3 linked regions of the Neodiprion lecontei genome follow. The protein of the gene in region 2 interacts with the protein of the main gene of each other region in a pairwise test. Links are inferred from orthologs where the notes say so. Each region holds a gene or a part of one and is shown on either strand. Other genes may lie near its edges. The genes, in order: protein Dr1, transcription initiation factor TFIID subunit 11 and transcription initiation factor TFIID subunit 13.

Region 1 (5,879 bases), about 22 Mb from region 2:
GTTCGTTTTCTATGAAATCGCATGATTGTTAAATACTCCCAAGACATTTCAGAAGTTGTTGATGCATGGATGCAGTGGGTATGCTATAACAACCACTTTTTTTCCTTTTGGTCTTAATGAATGTTACTGTAAAGTATCAGTAATCTGTTATAATAAAGGTGGGTGTGAATTGATCAAATCAAAACATTTTATTTTGACACAATAGCTCTTTTCTATATTACTTTTTCAGAGGTGTATATGTCCCTTTGAGAAACGTAGACATGTGTTCTGCAGATGATTCGTGTAATATTATTGTTATTGATCAGACGAGAATTCAATACAAGCATTGCTTGTCTTGATGCAATTCATTATATTGATTGATTACTTTATTTAATCATGATAGTTTTAATCTGCGCCTTGGTTTATGAATAACTTCCGTTTTTCAGCTTCCTAGCAGTGGAAGAAATGCGCCGCGGAGCGGCTCCAAGCCATGCTGCTGAGACAGCAGTTCGTCGCATAGCTCAGCATTATCCAAAATTCGTTGGTGGAGTTATTGCTCTTAATAAGGATGGCGCGTACGGAGCCGCCTGCAATGGGATGGAAAAATTTCCATTTTACGCGAGTAATCCTCTTCTCGGTGAACCCACTTTGAATCACGTTCGATGTATTGAGATCTGATTCACTCATGCTCCATGCCTATATTAGCCTTGCAATACTGCTTTTTCTACGGACAAAAAGAAAAATATTGCGATGCATGCAAATAATAGAATGTCACTGAATTCGAATCTTTTGCGATAAATTACTGATTTTCTAATATTCAAAGTGTTTCTATGCAAAGGTTTTTAATATAATTTTCCTAATAACAAGTACTGTAAGAATTTGATAATAATAAAGTTGGTGAACAAATGGCAACTTTTTGTTTCTTGATAAGTATAATGAAATGAGCGAAGGTAGAACAACCGGATTTTACTTGTGAGACGGAAACTAAGGCTCAATCGGAGCTAATTTATCAGCACAATTACCAGAAAGTTGTCATGAACTAAAAAATGCAAAAAAAAGGTAACTGTTTTGATTTTTGCAAAAATTGTGACTGATTCTAGTCAATACTAGACCTACTTATTGTATGTATACGTGTATGTATCTCAATTCTCAGGACATCAGATGCTGTAGTTGCAGGCAAAAAATGTAGTCGTATTTATTTTTATCTTTTAACGATCGGGCTAACGATTTCTCGACCACCCCATGCCTGAATTTTATATTTTTTGCGCACCTTAATTGTATCACCATCACTGATCTCTATGTAGACTGGATAGTGGACTCTTTCTCGTGCTTTCTACGTGCTACAGAGTGGAACCATCAGAAGGCATGTAAGCTGCGGGGGGAGGGGGGGGGGGGGGGGGTCAGAGGAAAGGGCAAGCTTGGGGTTTTTGATTAACCAATAAACGCGATTTTTTTTAAAAAGGCCTGTATTTCGGGTTAAAAAATGCCGATAAATAGAATTCCAATAAGAAAAAGGATATTGGCTACGGACGATGGAAATATAATTTCTGACTTTTGAGCTTTATTTATGTATCTCTTTAGCATTAATAGAATTCATTTATTTTAGTAATATATAGGTAGTAAATTTATTAGTATCAGTGATCAAACACATTATAAAACCTTGGAAAGTAAAAAATAAATCGGCACAATAAAATTCGTTACTTACAAATAGGCGACTTGAAACATTAGTAACAATTTGAAGCAAGCGCAAAAGTGAACCTGTGATTAGTTCGCTTGTGACTTGAACTTTTCCCACCGTACAAGTACTTCACCATTTTTATTAATTCACTAACTTTTTTCTTAGTATTAGGCACTAGGCTTTACCGTTTACCGCACTTTTGTTTTATTTTACCGTCGCCATCGAACAATATTCGCGTGAAGCTGGTTAGTTTTAGGTTTGAATTACCCGCTTCGAAACGGACCCGTCAAAATTGCAAATGGCGCTGATCAATTGGGTCCACTGAGGGCACCCAAGCCCCATATAACGCAGCGTGACTGTCTTGAAGCCTGTGTTTCTCAATTTGTGCACCAAAGATCGGAGCGCTGCAATCTCCGAGGCCGGTGTATGCGTACTAAGTAGGCCTCTCCCTCACTAGCGCTAGCGGCGAAAATTCACAACATCGGCTTCATTTTCGAGCACGGTTTTACAACCGGAGTGCCCAGACCTGTTATAAGGCCGTGATATGGTATAAAGACTTATAACCCTGGGTTTTTTTTCGTAACAGTTTGCAGGGTCTGGCCGGGTTTGGGGGTATTAGCAGTTTCGCGTATTACGAACCAAGTAGCTGACCACGTCGGCAAAAGGTGTTCTTCATAACCAATAACTATCGCGGGCAAAACGTTAGAAACGTGCCGTTGTCATCGTGAAACTGAAAATAGTTCTAATCTACCTCAGAATCTTTTAACAGTTTTGAATTAACCTCTTGTGTGATGCCAACTAGCGGAACGTTTCCATTGGTTTGTCCGAAAAGCTGCGCTGTAGCATGCGCTGTAGGACACCTGACTCCTTACACAAACTGTGGTTGTTTGGCGTTTAAAAATCCGAATTGCTTAATTGGTTTCATTTACAATCTCAGAACATAATCCGAATCCAATTGATATAAACTTTACACCGTACTTAATAACTTGCGAAAACTAATGATGGCGCTGTATTTTTATTTATGATGTCCCAGGATGTATTATCGGTGAATTTGTGTTGAGCAACCGTGGTATGATAACCTCCAGATCTACGTAACTAGTCATATGTGCGTGTTTCATAAATAAAGTATCCCATGCTAAATCATCAATAACGTTCCACATTCACTTAATTAGTGGTTTTTTTTTTTCACCAAACAAGAAAATATATTCGCTTAACTACTGACATATTATTACATCGGAATGTTATTTTTTTCATCGTGATATGAAGGGAATTCATTTGAACAGATTAAATAAGCTTTCGATTTTTATAATGACCACCTCTCGAAATTCGTTGATTACTTTTTGCGTTTTATTCGAGCAGTTACGTTTCATTTCATTTTTAACATTCAAGCACTTACATTTGATGTGTTTTTTTTCTACTTTCTCCTTCACTACCAGCAATGACTGTAATCGTTGAAACGTTGTAACAGCTTGCAGATGATATTTTGGGTAAAAATTTATTGAAGGTTAAATGCTGGTCATTCATTTATTGGTTCAATTTATTGTAAAACAAATTTGTTGCTTTTGTTATTTATTCGCCTGGTATGCTTAAACAACAAAGATTAGAGAGAAATAATTACAACAAAAGTGAGAGGCAACTTGATTTGTTAGCAATATATTTAGACATTTCTTACATTTCTTTTCCTGTTCATAGTTCTACAAACCATAGAGTTCCTTTAACTGACGAGCTGCAAATCTAATTTCATTTGCAATAGTTCAATCGATCATTTACTTGTTACTTCCGCATTCATTTTACTCAGAAACTACAAATTAAAAAAAGTGTACAAGTTTGATTTTTATTGATTCTTGATTGTTCGATTAATTCAGTCGACTGTCCGCATCTGATGTATTGTTTCATTGTGTCGAAATGATGTGAACTCTACTCCTGTTCAGTGAAGAAGAATATTTATCACCACTATCCTGTAGCATCATAACAATTCTTGTAATCTAGTTGACAAAGTAATGTGGCCAAAAGATTTTAATCCCACTTGTTACCTAAAGGTTTAGCTGTTATCGACTTTGTATATTTGCAATGTAAGCAGTGCCGTCAAATGAATACATATTATTTACATCTAAAATGACTCTTATTTTAGATTACAAGACGAGAAACGATACATTTCTGAAAACATTTCTTTATTGTCGGTGTTCATCTCACTTGTCGAATAAAGGTATATTGTTTCTTGGCACACACTTTCAAAGCATTTCTTTAATAGGTTTGCTAAAGTTATTGAACGTTGTTTGATCCTCGATTTTCAGGGTTCCAATGGCCTCGGCAACAGTGACTCCAGCTGAAGACGATGAGCTAACTTTACCTCGAGCGTCGATAAATAAAATGATAAAAGAAATCCTACCCCATATACGAGTAGCAAACGAGTCGAGGGAGTTAATATTGAACTGCTGTACTGAGTTCATACATTTATTATCCTCTGAAGCGAACGATATCTGCAATCAACAGCAGAAGAAAACAATTAATGCTGAGCATATATTACAAGCATTGGAAAAGTTGGGGTTTGGAGATTATAGCGCCGAAGCTGAAGCTGTATTGCGAGATTGTAAGGCTGTGGCAGCGAAGCGAAGACGCCAAAGTACAAGGCTCGAAAATCTTGGAATTCCAGAAGAGGAACTTCTTCGACAACAACAGGAGCTCTTCGCAAAAGCACGCGAGGAACAAGCCGTTGCTGAACAACAGCAGTGGCAACAGTTGCAAGCCGTTGCCCAAATGGCTTCTATGCAACAGCCGGATAGTGAGCAGGAAGATTACTCCTAAATTATTACCATTAAAATAGACAATGCAAGTCTAATGAGTAAATTGATTGGTTCCTCTACTTATGAATCGATTTTTCCAATAAAAGTGAACAGCGTAAATGAGAAATTCACTTCTTATTGTCTTAACGGTTTATCTTTGATGATTTATCTATGTAAATTGCATAAAAAAAAAAAGAGAAGAAATGAAGAAGAAAATAATTTCGAGTATCCTAGAATACGTTACCACCATTATTTATGAATAAATGTGAATGATGTGATAGAATAAAGAAGTGAACCTAATTATACCTATTTTCTTTGGATAATTTAATCGAACCACACCTTTGAAGTGTTTTTTTTTTTTGTAAACGTTTCTATTGAATATTTATGAAATTTAAAATTTTTTGTTCCTACCTTTGTGAAAGATTACATTCATTCCACTTTGCCAAATTGTTGTTTTCACGGCATTAATCTCCCATATTCAGAAAACAAATGACTTTTCTTTATCGTATCCATAATTTTGGAAGCATAATGGTACCTGTAATTAGTAAATAAAGATATGAGATCAATGTCTATTCTTCACCTTCAGTGTCTGCTATATAACTCGGAGTATCTCAAATTAGTACTAACCAATTTTTTTCAGTCAATACAGTTGAAGTCATGTTGTTACGTGATATACCATGTATTCTCATACGCAATTTTTCTGATATTTTTTCTGCACTATCATGAACGATTGTCTCATCTGAAACAATTCATTAAGTAAAATCACTTCGCCGATTCAAAGTTATTGAAGTCAGGAAACTGTGTACAACACTCATACAAAATGTAGATACGAGTCGTTTCTGCTTTCATCTGAATTGGATTTTTACCTTCGTTTGTAATTTCTGGTATAACGAATAAATTTAGTTGTCCATCAACGACGGATGAAGCCATATTTAATCCACTGTGTGTCAGCAGTCTAGAGTTTATAAATACTTTGTTATAAAAGTCCTGGAAATTGAGAACTAAGGTTTATTATGTGTGAGAAATGTTTTTGGAAATGATATTTTTCTGATAAGATATAATCCTCTAGTTCCTGGAAATACAAGCTCTAATTTGAGAGGTTTTATCTAAAAAAAAATCCGTTACTACTTGTTACTAAATCTATCTTACTTTCATCATGTTCATAGAATCAGGCATGAAATCCTGTAACTCAGCTTTATTGTGCAGAAAGAGGATGTGTGGATAATATTCGACAAAGTCTTGATCCATAGCAGACGCCGAAGAAGGTTTCAGCATTTCGGCAGTTTGAATGAATCTGAAGTATAGCGAACAAAGCAAACCAGTAAAATAAAGTACTTAATTAATTTGGATCAGATAAATTCAGCTGTTAGAAAGTAGATACCTGATTAAATTGGGATCTACAAACCAGTCCTGAATGAATATTACAACGTGACAAACAG
Region 2 (7,608 bases):
CGCCGGTACAGAAGCAGCCGCAAAATAAGCTGAACGAGCTGCTCCTCTGAGAGTCAGAAGATTCCGATGGATACTTTTTTTTACCTTCTGCGAGATCGATCATTTTTTATTAAGAAATATTGAAATTAATGTTGCTGCAAATGTTGATATTACGGGACTGCAATTACTACGCGAAATAAATGTTATTTGATCGTTTAATTAGAAAATCATTTTCAATTTGAGAACTAGAAAAAAAAAAAAAACAACTAGACGATAAATACACCATGCTTTGCTTCGTATCTTCGCAAATAATGTTTTACAGGAAAAATATCCCACAAGTTCTGTCCGTCGGACAATGCGAGGAGTGCAGGGACGAGTTTTTGCACGAGCTTCAAGGGCATTGACCCGTATACATATATACTGCGGCGCCTACGACTCTAATGCACTGGTCTAAACGCACGTACACAACTAAAATTACCTTAAATGGAAGAGGAGTCGAAGAGTTTTTGGTCGTAAATTATATGAACCGTATTGTAGCAGTAACGACACACCGATGATGATAGTAATGATGATGACTATGATGACGATGCGTGGAGTTGTTATGAAACTGATAAACCGAGGTTTCGTTTGTAATTTCGATGCAGCTAGCTTTTTATTATCGGCGCTGAAACGCGTCGCTGAAAATCGAAATTTTTTTTCAATTGGGAATTTCGGTACATCGACTGTGTGATGATTAGATTAACAAAACGAATTAGTGTAAACCGAGCGTATATTTTCTCCGAGCGGGAAGATTCTTCAATCGGAAAATTTAACAAACTTGAGTCTCTATTCACTCTCGGAAAGTTGGAGAAGCTTTGAAACGGGAGGCATCGATATTCGTTTAGCAGATGTTAGGGAAAGAATTAAGGAAAGTGTATCGGATGTGGTAAGATAAAACTTACGTGTCTGATATTTCGACCGCATAGGCGGAAAGGAAAAAGGTCGAAAACTCGATCTCGTATACAATAATAACTTCACCTTCTCTCTTTTATTTCCAAGATATCAAAAACAGGGATATTGTATACTGAAAATTGACAGGCCAAGACAGAATTTTCGACGTCGTTTGAAAAAATTGTGAATGTAATTACATACACAGGATACAGACTTATGTACGTATCTACGTACGTACGTCAAACCCGCATTTACATTCGACTCCTCATTCGTGCAGGCGTCTAGTTTGACTTACCTACGTATGCATAGGTACTTTAAATTCTAGTCTTCGTGTACCTGAGCGTCTACGATCAGAATAAAGACCCGAGTTTCGAAAATGGTATAGGTGGGTATTACATGTGTGCATTGTATACAGTAACAGGCGAAAAATGACAGTGTGCATACGTGTTTACCTAAAAACACGCCTATAAATTGCCTCATTATTTTTTGCGACAATGGTATCTATCTGGCCATGTGCGAAAAAACGACAATCAAGTTTTGTACGCGCGTCTGTCTGTATAAAAAATGACGTATACGTAACGCTATTATTGCAGAGATTGCGGAGTCGCGATTGAGAATAACGAGATGAATCGCAACGCGGTAAATGGCAAACAATTAACCGTGCTGAGTAATAAAACGCGAAACAACCAAGCTGCTGCTAATCAAAATGCGTTGTCGAACTCTCGGTACGCGATCTGTTACATTTTCGATAGCAGAAAAGGAATGAGAATAAGAATAAAAAGAAAAGATTGGTAAACCGGTTTTTTACGCACAAACATCAAAGAACAAAACCCGCTGCAGGCTCTCTCCGACTTTTCAGCAATATAACATGACCAGTTTGACGGTTCCAATATGGAACTGTGCCATTTTTAAAGCGCGTTGGTTATTATACAGAAGATGTTTTTTTTTCCAACTAGTGTAAACGTGAGTCCATAAATATTATATTACGTATCGATGAGGAGGAAAGAGATACTCACATTTTAACACATCAACACGAAGAGTTGGCCGACATTAACGAGGGTTGAATGCTTGGTTGGCGAAGAACGAAGATTTCCGTTCGATTCCCTCGTTAATACGAAATCCAAATAAATATGCAAGAGGGAGAGGTAACTGAGACACTGTACTGTGTTTGTATTGTGTATATCCACCTGCACCTTTTCCTCCTCCTTCCTCCTCCTTCTCAAAGCCGCAACACTTGGCAAATGTCCGAGAGCCGTCTAAAATTCAACTTTGCCGATGTGTGCACAAGCGGTAGGTGGGTATATTTACCCCGTTTACACGGCGATGTACTCGACCCCTTTCGCCGTTAAATCACTCGGCTGTTAATAACCCTGATTGGGTAACCACGGCGTAGAAATTTTTACGCGAAACGCGACCGAAAGTACGAGAAAATTGTTAAAACAATCGAGTATTGACAAATGCGGCGTCGCGACACCGCCGCAACATTTCTCTCGCGATTGTTTCGATGGTTTGTGCTGCTGCCGCGCGGGCAACTTCGGAACTAACGAGGCGAACCTTACCCAGCGTATTTACGTTTCATCATTGTCGCCAATTTACGGTCCCAACGATTACGATCGTGACGACGATTTATTGATGGGGATTCTCCGTCGTCGGTTGTCGATATTTGCCGCTACTTTTGATAACCTCGGTGTAGTAATTTTGAAAAAGATAAATCGTCGCAAAGGCAGGTCACGCAGGTCGTGACGTCATTCGTGCAGTAAACACTCTCCTTCTGTCAAATCAGTCAATATCGCGCTACAAAAGCGGTTCAAATCAAATTATCTTCAGGGTTTAGGACGCGTCAGCTGACCGGACTGTTGCTGTTAAAAACATCGTGAGTTTCGTTACTTCTTCAGCCCTCCTTTGGACAGATTTTATTTCATAATTACACCGATTATGGTGTTCGGCTGTTTCTAACCTATATGCATGTGTACAAAATTTCACCGATTTTTAAAATTTATGCAATTTTGTATTTGATAGAACATTTTGGCCTTTTATTTTTATGAACTTTATTGCTTCAGAGAATGGATAATATTTTTGGTAAAGATGATTCTGGGAACGAAAGCGAGCTTGTCGATATTGAAGATAAGGACAGTCCGTCTAGACCCTCCGGAACCAGAGACAGCGATGGCATGGATATTGACGACGTTCCTTTGAAGGTGAAAGGAGTAAATATATTGAAATTTTCAGCTTCGTACTTTTGCAGTCGATATCGCTAATACGGAGGAGAATTTAGAACATTTTTATACTTATATTGCAATTATGAAAATCGAGAACTCGAATTTGCACAAAAATATAAGCAAAACTGATGATCTCCAATCTTTTTGTCATACTTAAATTGAGACTGATTTCTCATGCGGTTCTCGTCAAATTGTTTTGAATAATTTGGTGTTTTAATTTTAAAGAATGAACCTGACACTTCAAGTCAGAATTCTCAATCAGACACAGAAGAGTCAAGTCCCCAACAAACTAGTAGCGGAATGCTATCAAGTGACCATATGGACTTGAAGAATGATCCAGAGAGTCAAGATGAGCATGAAGACATTTTTGGAAATGATATAATGCTCCCACATTCGGTACCGACAAAAATAGATGGAAGAAGAGAAAGTAGAGAAAAGAGTAAAAAGGAACTGGAGGAAGAAGAGCGGGAGAAAATGCAGTATGTTAAATATTCACCTTTTTGGCTTCTATTTGTGAAGCGACGCATTTGACAATACGTACAAAATTACTTTCACCATTTTTATTCTAGAGTTTTGGTATCAAATTTCACGGAAGATCAATTGGACAGATACGAGATGTACAGAAGAGCTGCATTTCCCAAAGCAGCAATCAAAAGAGTAATCAGATTTTATCAAAGCTTTTAGTTAGTTCTGCATTCTCAAAATTATTCGAAGTGTAAATTCCTTGAAGAAACTCCTTGTTAAATAAAAATGCATGTAAGCTTCTTGAAAGATAACCTTCACGAACTAATATTTTACTCGCGTTTTTTTTTCAAATATCTACTCAATATTGATTGCATAAATTTACTCCGACCAACAATCACAAGGTCAATACCTAATATCTTATTGCCAAAGAAAATGAACAGACGGCTCTTCCATTTTGTTGTTTTCGATTCTTTTCAGATTATGCAGACAATTACGGGCTGCTCGGTATCTCAAAATGTCGTGATAGCCATGTCAGGTATAGCCAAGGTGTTTGTCGGCGAAATTGTTGAGGAAGGTACGATATGAAAAACTATATCTCTTGCACAAGATAATTACAAACTCCGATGTATGCAAATTTCGATGGCTCAAAAAATTGACGAATATTTTTATTGGAGAAAAAGATATTGTAAAATCCATAGTAACTCTTTCACTGTAAAGAATATAGAGAGCAGAAGCTGAAATAATGTAACAAATATGCAACTGTTTAAAGCTTTGGATGTCATGGAAACTCACGAAGAAACGGGCCCATTGCAACCAAAACATTTGAGGGAAGCGGTACGCAGATTACGACTTCAGGGACAAATACCAAACGGTAGAGCACAAAAGGCATTTTTCAGACTTTGAGGAAAGCATGAGCTTTTTTGCAAATGGTCAAGAAAAATGTTATTAAAGTGCAGCACGTAGTACAAACGCTTTTGTTATAACAAAAAAGGCTAATAGCTGGAAAAACGTCCAGAAGACTTCCAAAAGCTACAGCCAATGTTAGAAAATGCGAAATGCCAATCAATATCTATTGTAATAATATTATGTTTATGCATTAGCGTCTAATTTTAAACCTGTAAAAGGTCATTAGAGTTAATTTATTAAATCATAACAGAGGCAATAAATGAAATTCTGTTATGATTTTAGATCTAGCTATACAATATAATTTTAACGTTACTTGTAAAATACATTTGAAATCTCTTCTCTTCTCTGGCAGTATAAATTTTTTCATCCGAGAGTTATAGTCTAATCTGAAAGCTTTCAATGTATGTTTCCCAAAGAGAATTCTATTCTTGTAACATTGTTCTCTTGACCCACAAATGTAGAAAGAATTATATTTTCTCTTATTGTTACATATAATGAATAAAAAGATATATCACTAAAATCCTGATACCTGTTGTATTTCAACTATGAGAAATACCAAAAAACCATGACTAAATGAATTCGTACTAGGGTATTTTTCGAAAGATGAAATTTTTTCAAAAGTATATCTCGACACGTGCACAAAAAAGCATGATTTATAACGATTTTATTTCCAATTATCAATAATAGTCATGCGTCACCCCCGTTACCAAAAACCTCATTCCGTAAATATCTTTACTGAAATTGATTTATAGTATACTATGATACAATCTTCTGTATTTTGTTATTCTAATATGTACAAAGAGTTAATCATACTATAAAAATTTGTAGTAACTTTACTTCTCTTAAAATCTTAAATATCCTTATGTTATTTTTGGCAGATAATTACTAGTTATATGGTATTATAATTATCTTATTTTCATTTAACAGTATTTAAGAAAGAGTCATTCAGAATTACAATATATTTATAAGTAAAAAGCTGATATTCATATTAGGATCTTATTTACACTTATAAGTTATATGCATTCTCTGACAGCAGTAAGCACGTAAGTATATAACAACTAAAAATTACAACTTAATATTCTTAACTGTTCATCGTACGCTTGCAGATGTTCACTACATTTCAAAAACCATTGCTCATTGAAATGATGGAATATATTTTTATACCACGATATAATATTAAAGAGTAGTTGATAGATCTACTCGCTCGATTACAAATATTATACATTATCATTGTAAAATAGCTAACATAAAGCATTATGTTAGTATTCCTCCGGTAATTAGAAAATTTACTTTACAAATACATACAACAGATATTATACATCTTGCATCGTCTATATCACGAATTAAGAAATATTTTACACAGTTCTATTATTATACTTCATTTCTTTACAACTGGTTAACACACATATTTCAATATCTGTACACTAATCCGCCATATATTATCTATTTAAATTATATCTCAGTTTTCTGTACACGAAATCTGATTAGTTTGTTAAAATTGAAATAAAAAAAATCAAACATTCAAGTAGAAATTATAGTTCTCCGATAATTGGTATCATTAAAGTTGCATTACAGATATGTGATTTTTGCAAATAAAAAATGAAATTTCAAGTTTCTTTCTCATCTTTTACCTTTAATGGTTCGTTTTTTTCCGGTTTTTCTTAAGCTAAATAATTATACGATACAAAGCGTAATTATAAAATACTATCCAAATTGTGAATAATAAACACCTTCCAATGCAATAGGAAACTTAGGATAAAATTAAAAGCTTCAAATTATGGATAGTAATAAGTGAATGATATTCACCAGATTTTTTTTCGCTGCCGAAAGTTTCATATTTTCATCAACTGTTGAACTTAGTAAAGCAAAGTATGCATATCTTTAGGTTAAATTCACTGTTTCCTGCAGTTTTATACCTTTGACAGTCTACGTACGTTATATTCACAACCACATCAATGTGTATTGAACTATCGAAAATATATATACATTATGTAGTTAACAAAACCTCATGCATTGTCTCCAAATTATACACGGCATTATTCGTGATTTCATTATTATTGCAAGTTTTTAACATAGAGTCCATTTTCGAAAAAAGCACCATTAGTTGATGATTTAAAAAAAAGATATAGTTTCGCGCTACGCTTCATGAGTGATTTCAAGTAATAAGTAATCATTGTCATATTTCCCATCTCATGACATACATTGTTAGATTAACTTAATTCTTATTTCTATATGCATAGAAATTTTAGGTATAAAAATGTTAAAGCTCGCATCACTTGAGTCTTGAGCTAATCTTAATTTGTCAATTATTTTTTTTTTCACGGTTTATATTTTACTACCAAGTATCAACTAGTGTAATTGGACTTTTCTTTATTTCAATACATTTATTATCAAACCTATAATCAAAATACCATCATTATAATTCGTCGTCGATATGTTTTTTACCTTCTCTGGTATCGGCATTAATTTTTATTTGCGAGCCAGCATGTTCTTCACTTACGACTTTCCCGTTTTTCCGTTCTTGATTTCTTCCTTTCTCTTCTTCTTGTTCTTCTTCTTCTTTGCCTCGATACTCATAATTACTCTTTTCTGGGTTAGCATATCCCGTCGATCGTATTTCTTTTTTTTGTTGAAATTCAGAAAATCCTTTCAATATTTTACCTTCATCAGATGCCCACAAAGGTTTTTTGAAATCCTCCAAAGGGTCATTCGAGCGAAGTTGCTCATCGGGTATGTGCTGGGTTTCTAAATTTATTTTTGTATTCAATTTAATTTCATTATTATTAAGGCTACGCATATTACTGTTATCTTTATTATTATTATTTTGAGAATCACTAATCTCTCTTCGGATGTCTTGTAAAAGCCTCTTTCTCTCGTCATATCTTGCTTCCGTTTTATCGAATTGTTCATCTCGATGTTTGTCGACAATTTCTTTGTCATTTTCAGTGTCCCAATCAGCGCCACGATTAATTATGTCAGATTTTACTTCAGACTTGTCATAGTCCAGATTTTTTAGCGATGAAGAACTAGATTCAGTTGGATTCTCTGCCGCTTTTTCAATCTCGATTAAAATGAAATCCTCAAAATCATCCAAATTCCGTGAGTCTAT
Region 3 (5,715 bases), on a different chromosome or scaffold from region 2:
TTCGTCATCGTCCGGCAAGCCTCAATCGACGACTGACTCGAGTCGAAAGATTGCGCGCGGACTTGAGCCATTCCTCAGCTCACTTTTTTCGCAACTTCTTTTTTTCCTTCGATCCTTTTATCGCGACTCAACTCTTCGCAGTTATTATCGCGCTTTATCGAACTTTGGGCTAAGATCTGCGAATTTCACCACAGCGATTAAGATTTCGCGATCTATGTACCGAAGAAGCATACATACATGTATATGTATAGTTAACGTATGTTTGGTTATGTGTGTGTGTGAATTGGGACGTGCTAATTGAAATGCGTGACTATACCTCCAACAATTATTGATATAAGTACCTGTGATCGACGGTCCTCGGCCATATTATTACACATGTAACCAACGATAAGGATTAATATACGCTCATTCTGATATTGTCACGTATACCCGTTTGGAATCAGATAAATCCGATCGGGCTGAACGATGCGGATTATATTATAGATACATCAGTTACGTACACACTGTAAATTGATGACCGTCTCTGCGCAGGTGATATATTCGAATCATCGTGACATATTAAGTGATATCACATAGTTGCAATGTATCGCATAAAAACAAGGCAAATACACGCGAAGTGAAATTTTTGTTCCGCACGTTACCATGCAGCCCTTAAAACAATTTAAGTTTTTCGCCGTATCCAAAAAGTCTAGTTATTGGTGCAAAATGATATTTAGTTGTGTTCCTGTGATCGCGAAATCCAGTACGTGTTACTCTTCTTTGTAACTATTATTCTAGATGTAATTCTATTACGGCAATGACCTAAGCGCAGATATCACCACGAATGCCTTCTTTCTCTGCCGATTGATAAACATTATTTATATTCGCTATCGAGGAGGGCTCAATTACATACGAACACATACGAACACATAGTTCGTTCGATCGCTGTTATGAGTACAGTGTCTTCGATTCGTGGAATTGGTTGAGTTGACGATTCTTTTTCGCAGACAAGATAATACTGGATAGCATTTATGCACATCGATTCGTTATAGATTTGCGTATCCAACGTATTCGCGAAATTAGTTTTACCACTATGCAAGCAAGACTAAGCATACACCTTATAAAAAAAAGACCCGAACCAAGGTTGGTGGGTCTTACAACTTGTTTACGTGTTGATTAAAATATCACGATTTATTTTTAACCGAATTACCGACTAATTCGGTAATGTTACAATTAACGACGTTGGTCAAATCGAATAAACATAAACACACGCTACAACCGCAATCATATTATTAAACAAAAAAGATTTTCCCAAGCTGATCGAATTCGATTACAGATTCTAGAAATGCTACTGTACGGAAACAAGGAGGGAATCTTAGAATTTCATGTATATTACGTAATAAGTAAAGGGTGTATGAAGAATATTTAAAATACATGGAATAACATCGTATTAAAAAAATCAACGAACGCTCTTTTAACTGAAGTGCTGTCAATTTTCTCCAGTGATTGCCTGTATCACGTATTATTATTATTGTTGTTGTTGTTGTTGTTGTTGTTGTTGTTATTATTATTATTCATAGAAACAGAACGTTTCCTCTATTTCATTCATACATACAGCTCTTTCATTAGACAGATAACATTTTGCCTTATCGACGCATCCCTTACCGTCAGCAGAAAGGGATCCGCTTTTGTATTTTTCGTATCCTCGATTTAGTAGCGCCTTCTGACACGGAACAGATTTTGTAAAGAATTTTTGAGGTACCTGAACGGTAAATGCATGTCGTATTTGCTGTGTACTATTTAGCAACTCGAAAGCAGTGAGTAATGCACAGCGCATTTGTCATAGTCGTAGAATAACACAATTTCGGATTAGATTTATACAAAATTTTGCAACATATTTAAGATTATTTGACAGATCAATCGGCCGCGCTTTTGCGCGCCGATTTCGCAAACGGTACATGACAAAGTAAAGCACTGTCGATGTGCTCAGCCTTCGGCTCTTAAGTCGAATATCTTACAAGTAATCAAGTTTTCAAATTTGACAGCGCCTTTTGCGCGTCACCCTGATAATTTTCGGGTTCTAAGTGAAGGCATGGCATTTGTATAGTGATAGCGAAGAATCTTGGCGTAAGTATTCCCGAAATTGGGTGGGTGCAGACCTAGGTCCACCTTTTATCTTGATTGATGTGAATGATACATGTAAGGTGATTAAATTTGCCCTTTTTCGATCTTACAAAGCCATCAATTACCTTAGGGACATAGCGTTGATGCAAGTTGTTCTCGATAACATTTTTAAGTGGTTTGAGTTGAACGAAACGACATGCAACATTGTTAAATGTGATTCTATAACATTTGGTAAAAAAAAAAATCATTCAAAGGATTTCACTTATTATAAATTGGGAAACTGTTACTTCATACAGATCACTGAAGTTAAGGAATTCTAGGTATTTATTTTAATAACAAATTAACTTTTGTAAGACACAAAAAAAACGGCAATAAATTTCAAAGTAATTAAGATAATATTAACCATTGTTTGCCGTTAATTTAAAGCATATGAAGTTTTTTAAATATTTAGTATTACTGCAATAACATTTGTTAATGTTTATGATGCGTTTATTTTCGACCACTGCAGTGGCATTTTGTTATGGTAAATATGCTCTGTATTATCCACTGAGTTCAACCCTCAGCAACGAATCCTGCTATGCCGTCGGCGTTTTTTCGTCTCACTATTAGGAATGTTTCGTTTTCGACATTTGGCATCACTGACTAACGTAAGCTTCGTGAGATGGGTTTTGACACAGAAACTAGTAGATCTCTGTTTGACAAGTGTTGGAGTTTTCAACGAGAGTTTTCTGTCAATTAATCTTGTTCAAAAGTCGTTATTTAATTGCCAGATTCTTGTGAGTCAAACGAAATACGTCAATGGCTGCGGAGGAAAATTACGAGCAGGTAAATTGGTCATAATGAAATGGTTTGTTCATAATTGAGGGTTGAGTACGAGCTAAGCAAAATAATCTAGCCTAACGTAAAGTAACCTAACTCCTGGAGACCTTAAGCCTTGATTGGCATTCTTTATTTGATCAGTTCGAAGATGAGGAGACGGAGATTCCGATCGGAGGAACGCTTCCGGGTGGAAGAAAACGGTTATTTTCAAAGGAGCTCCGTTGCATGATGTACGGATTTGGCGATGACCAAAATCCATACACCGAAAGCGTTGACTTTCTGGAAGATTTGGTGATCGAATTCATCACCGAAATGACCCACAGGGCAATGGAAATTGGACGCACAGGCAGAGTGCAAGTCGAAGACATTGTCTTCCTTGGTGAGTGAGCGGGAATTTTAATTTGTTGTGCAATATTATCTTAAACTTGTTTCACATTGTTTTCCAGTAAGGAAAGATTCTAGAAAATACGCCAGAGTTAAGGATCTGCTGACAATGAATGAGGAGCTTAAAAAAGCAAGGAAAGCCTTTGACGAAGTGAAATACGCAGGTACTGTCAATCAGTAGGAAACCGGTTGATTGATATTATCAAGTAAAAACAAAAATATCATTGGTAGAGGTGTGTGAATTCATGATTTTTTGGTTTTTGTTATTGCAGAGTCTAATCCAAGTCTTGTTGCAATATATGAATAATTGGCCATCCAAACACATTCTGAAGTATTTTCTGAAACAAGTTTTCATCATAGCATAATATCCAATCAGGCTTGAATCAGACTCGTTAGTTTTAGTTTATTGCGTATAAAATAGAGCTATGATTTGTTGTTTATGAACTGATCGAGCGATGGTTTCTAACAGGAATGGGTGGCGTTACTGTAAATATTGCATCCTCACCATTGTTACTATTTTTTGTTTGGTTTGTTTTATTACTATGCAATTGGGTGGACTTTGTCATGTTTAAGTGGTTGCGCTATTGAATCTAAATATGGAGGTCACTGAGTTTCAATAATTGATCAAATTGGTCTGTTTTATTAAATTTAATACCAGGTAGCATGTAATTAGTGTTTTGCATCTCATTTTTATTTTGAATAGTCGGTTGTCAAATATATTGTAAATAAGTGTTGCATCATAATTGATTAATTATTGAGTTGCGTTTTAGAATGTTAAACCAAAACAAACAAGGTTGCCTGTTGAATTTATTCGAATGAATATCTTTTGTACATTTATAATTGAATACCATGGTACTTTAATGAATACATTTAACAATCGTTTTGGGTGAAGATTAGAAATGTGTACTGATGTTGCATAATTACTACGTCATCTAACTAAGTGATAATGAATCAACATAGTATCATATTTGAATAAATATTTTAAACGGAATTAGAAACGCTTGGTCTTAGTAACAACCTATATTTTACTGGCAGAATAACATCGTGCGGTGAAAAGAAATACCTTGGTTAAAGAAGGAGAAGGAAATGTGTAAAAATACTTGTATGGGCCCAAATCAACTATGCGAATGGTCTGCCAATTGCAATTTGCTGCAATTTTCAATTGGGCTTTGACACAGCCTATTTAATATCACTGCGACATGATCATCGAATTCCAGACTGCAACCAGATTCTCGATTTTAACGGAGTGATATGTTTGATGCAGTACAGAGTGAGTTTCTTGACTTGTTGAAGAATAATTCATCTCCGTATGTATGTACATATATTTATGTGTCTATTTGTGATACCTGGATTGAATTTATTTGTACATTCATGTAACTTGCTCAGGATTTTACCAATAATCAATGTATGGGCGTTGTACCAATGCTTGTTATATATTATACAGTACACGACTTTTCCCATATCATACATCCATTTATTTTTTTTGCCACATTTCTCCCGCATTTTCCGTGCAAAATTCCGGGAAAATTGGAATTTAGAACGTCATGCTGACATGCATCAACGTAGGAAGAGTTCGAAAAAAGGCGCGTTTTTTCGTGGGTCTAAAATGATTGGTTGATGCTAATTGATTACTTGAGAGCAAGACATCTGGTTAGTAAGTAGTGTCTTGGCGGAGTATTAGCACGGAACGATTGGTTCAGAGAAGCAAACGGTGAAGCATTAATTGATTACATCGTCATTAAAACAAAGGTGCTATCCTTAGTTCTGAGAATAAGGGCTTCTCTGATTGTGAACTGTACATGATTTTCGGAAGATATAACGGTGACGTGTGAAAATTGTATATACGCTGCTTAATACTTTATAGATGTGAGCTTGGTTGATAAAATAACAGGCAATGTGGCGTGTAAGAACTAATAATATGAGAATCTTGCACGTATGATCGTAACTGTATACGTCTGTATTGGTCTAAGAACTATGGTAAGGGTGCATAGGACTCTCTTGCGGTCACTACAATTTTGCTACAAGAACTTGCCTTGAACTTTTCCAAAATCAACTGCAAATTGTCGTTTTCGAGCTGATTAATACCGCACGTCGTTACTGTAATTTTTCGAACGGCTGCACTGAGAGCGGGTTCTTTAGAATTCATTCGCCATTGGACGAAAACCACGTGATTCGCACTGATTGCAACCACTGAAAAGATTATTCGGAAAATCAGTGCGGAAAATGCTGTAAGTCAGCAGACGACGCGAAGATTCACGTGTAGATACCGGCGTCCGCAGCAGCGGGTCGTAATTTCCCCGAATTATGGCTTTGGTAAAACAAACAGGTCCGTTGCCTACAGACGCCGTGCCTTTGGACAAAAACGAAGCTTTGCGATATCAAGTCGATATGCTGCGGCACTGGCCGAAC

What was found.
Region 1: the proteins of transcription initiation factor TFIID subunit 11 (region 2) and protein Dr1 interact in binary tests that used the Drosophila melanogaster proteins (3 or more experiments, as listed by UniProt). The link is inferred for Neodiprion lecontei from reciprocal best matches to the Drosophila melanogaster genes Taf11 and NC2beta.
Region 3: the proteins of transcription initiation factor TFIID subunit 11 (region 2) and transcription initiation factor TFIID subunit 13 interact in a two-hybrid assay, tested with the Drosophila melanogaster proteins (2 studies listed by BioGRID). The link is inferred for Neodiprion lecontei from reciprocal best matches to the Drosophila melanogaster genes Taf11 and Taf13.

The regions. Positions count from the first base shown.
Region 1 is NC_060261.1:17,283,499-17,289,377, reverse strand, and holds protein Dr1, read left to right. Parts: upstream 1-2,445; 5' UTR 2,446-2,760; coding exon 2,761-2,762; intron 2,763-3,811; exon of another isoform or gene 3,812-3,951; coding exon 3,952-4,462; 3' UTR 4,463-4,749; downstream 4,750-5,879. Other genes in the region: N(4)-(Beta-N-acetylglucosaminyl)-L-asparaginase, read left to right, coding at 426-657; protein SMG9, read right to left, coding at 4,897-4,975, 5,068-5,179, 5,307-5,427, 5,590-5,734, 5,822-5,879. UniProt on the Drosophila melanogaster protein: Bifunctional basic transcription factor. Activates transcription of DPE (Downstream Promoter Element) containing promoters while repressing transcription of promoters which contain TATA elements.
Region 2 is NC_060261.1:39,665,080-39,672,687, reverse strand, and holds transcription initiation factor TFIID subunit 11, read left to right. Parts: upstream 1-2,391; 5' UTR 2,392-2,786; intron 2,787-2,969; exon of another isoform or gene 2,970-2,971; 5' UTR 2,972-2,972; coding exon 2,973-3,116; intron 3,117-3,353; coding exon 3,354-3,607; intron 3,608-3,697; coding exon 3,698-3,785; intron 3,786-4,070; coding exon 4,071-4,167; intron 4,168-4,362; coding exon 4,363-4,496; 3' UTR 4,497-6,577; downstream 6,578-7,608. Other genes in the region: ER degradation-enhancing alpha-mannosidase-like protein 3, read right to left, coding at 6,916-7,608. UniProt on the Drosophila melanogaster protein: The TFIID basal transcription factor complex plays a major role in the initiation of RNA polymerase II (Pol II)-dependent transcription.
Region 3 is NC_060263.1:20,309,452-20,315,166, forward strand, and holds transcription initiation factor TFIID subunit 13, read left to right. Parts: upstream 1-2,758; 5' UTR 2,759-2,901; coding exon 2,902-2,928; intron 2,929-3,063; coding exon 3,064-3,301; intron 3,302-3,368; coding exon 3,369-3,487; 3' UTR 3,488-4,341; coding exon of another isoform or gene 4,342-4,346; 3' UTR 4,347-4,725; downstream 4,726-5,715. Other genes in the region: methylsterol monooxygenase 1, read right to left, coding at 1-8; uncharacterized protein LOC107221582, read left to right, coding at 5,611-5,715.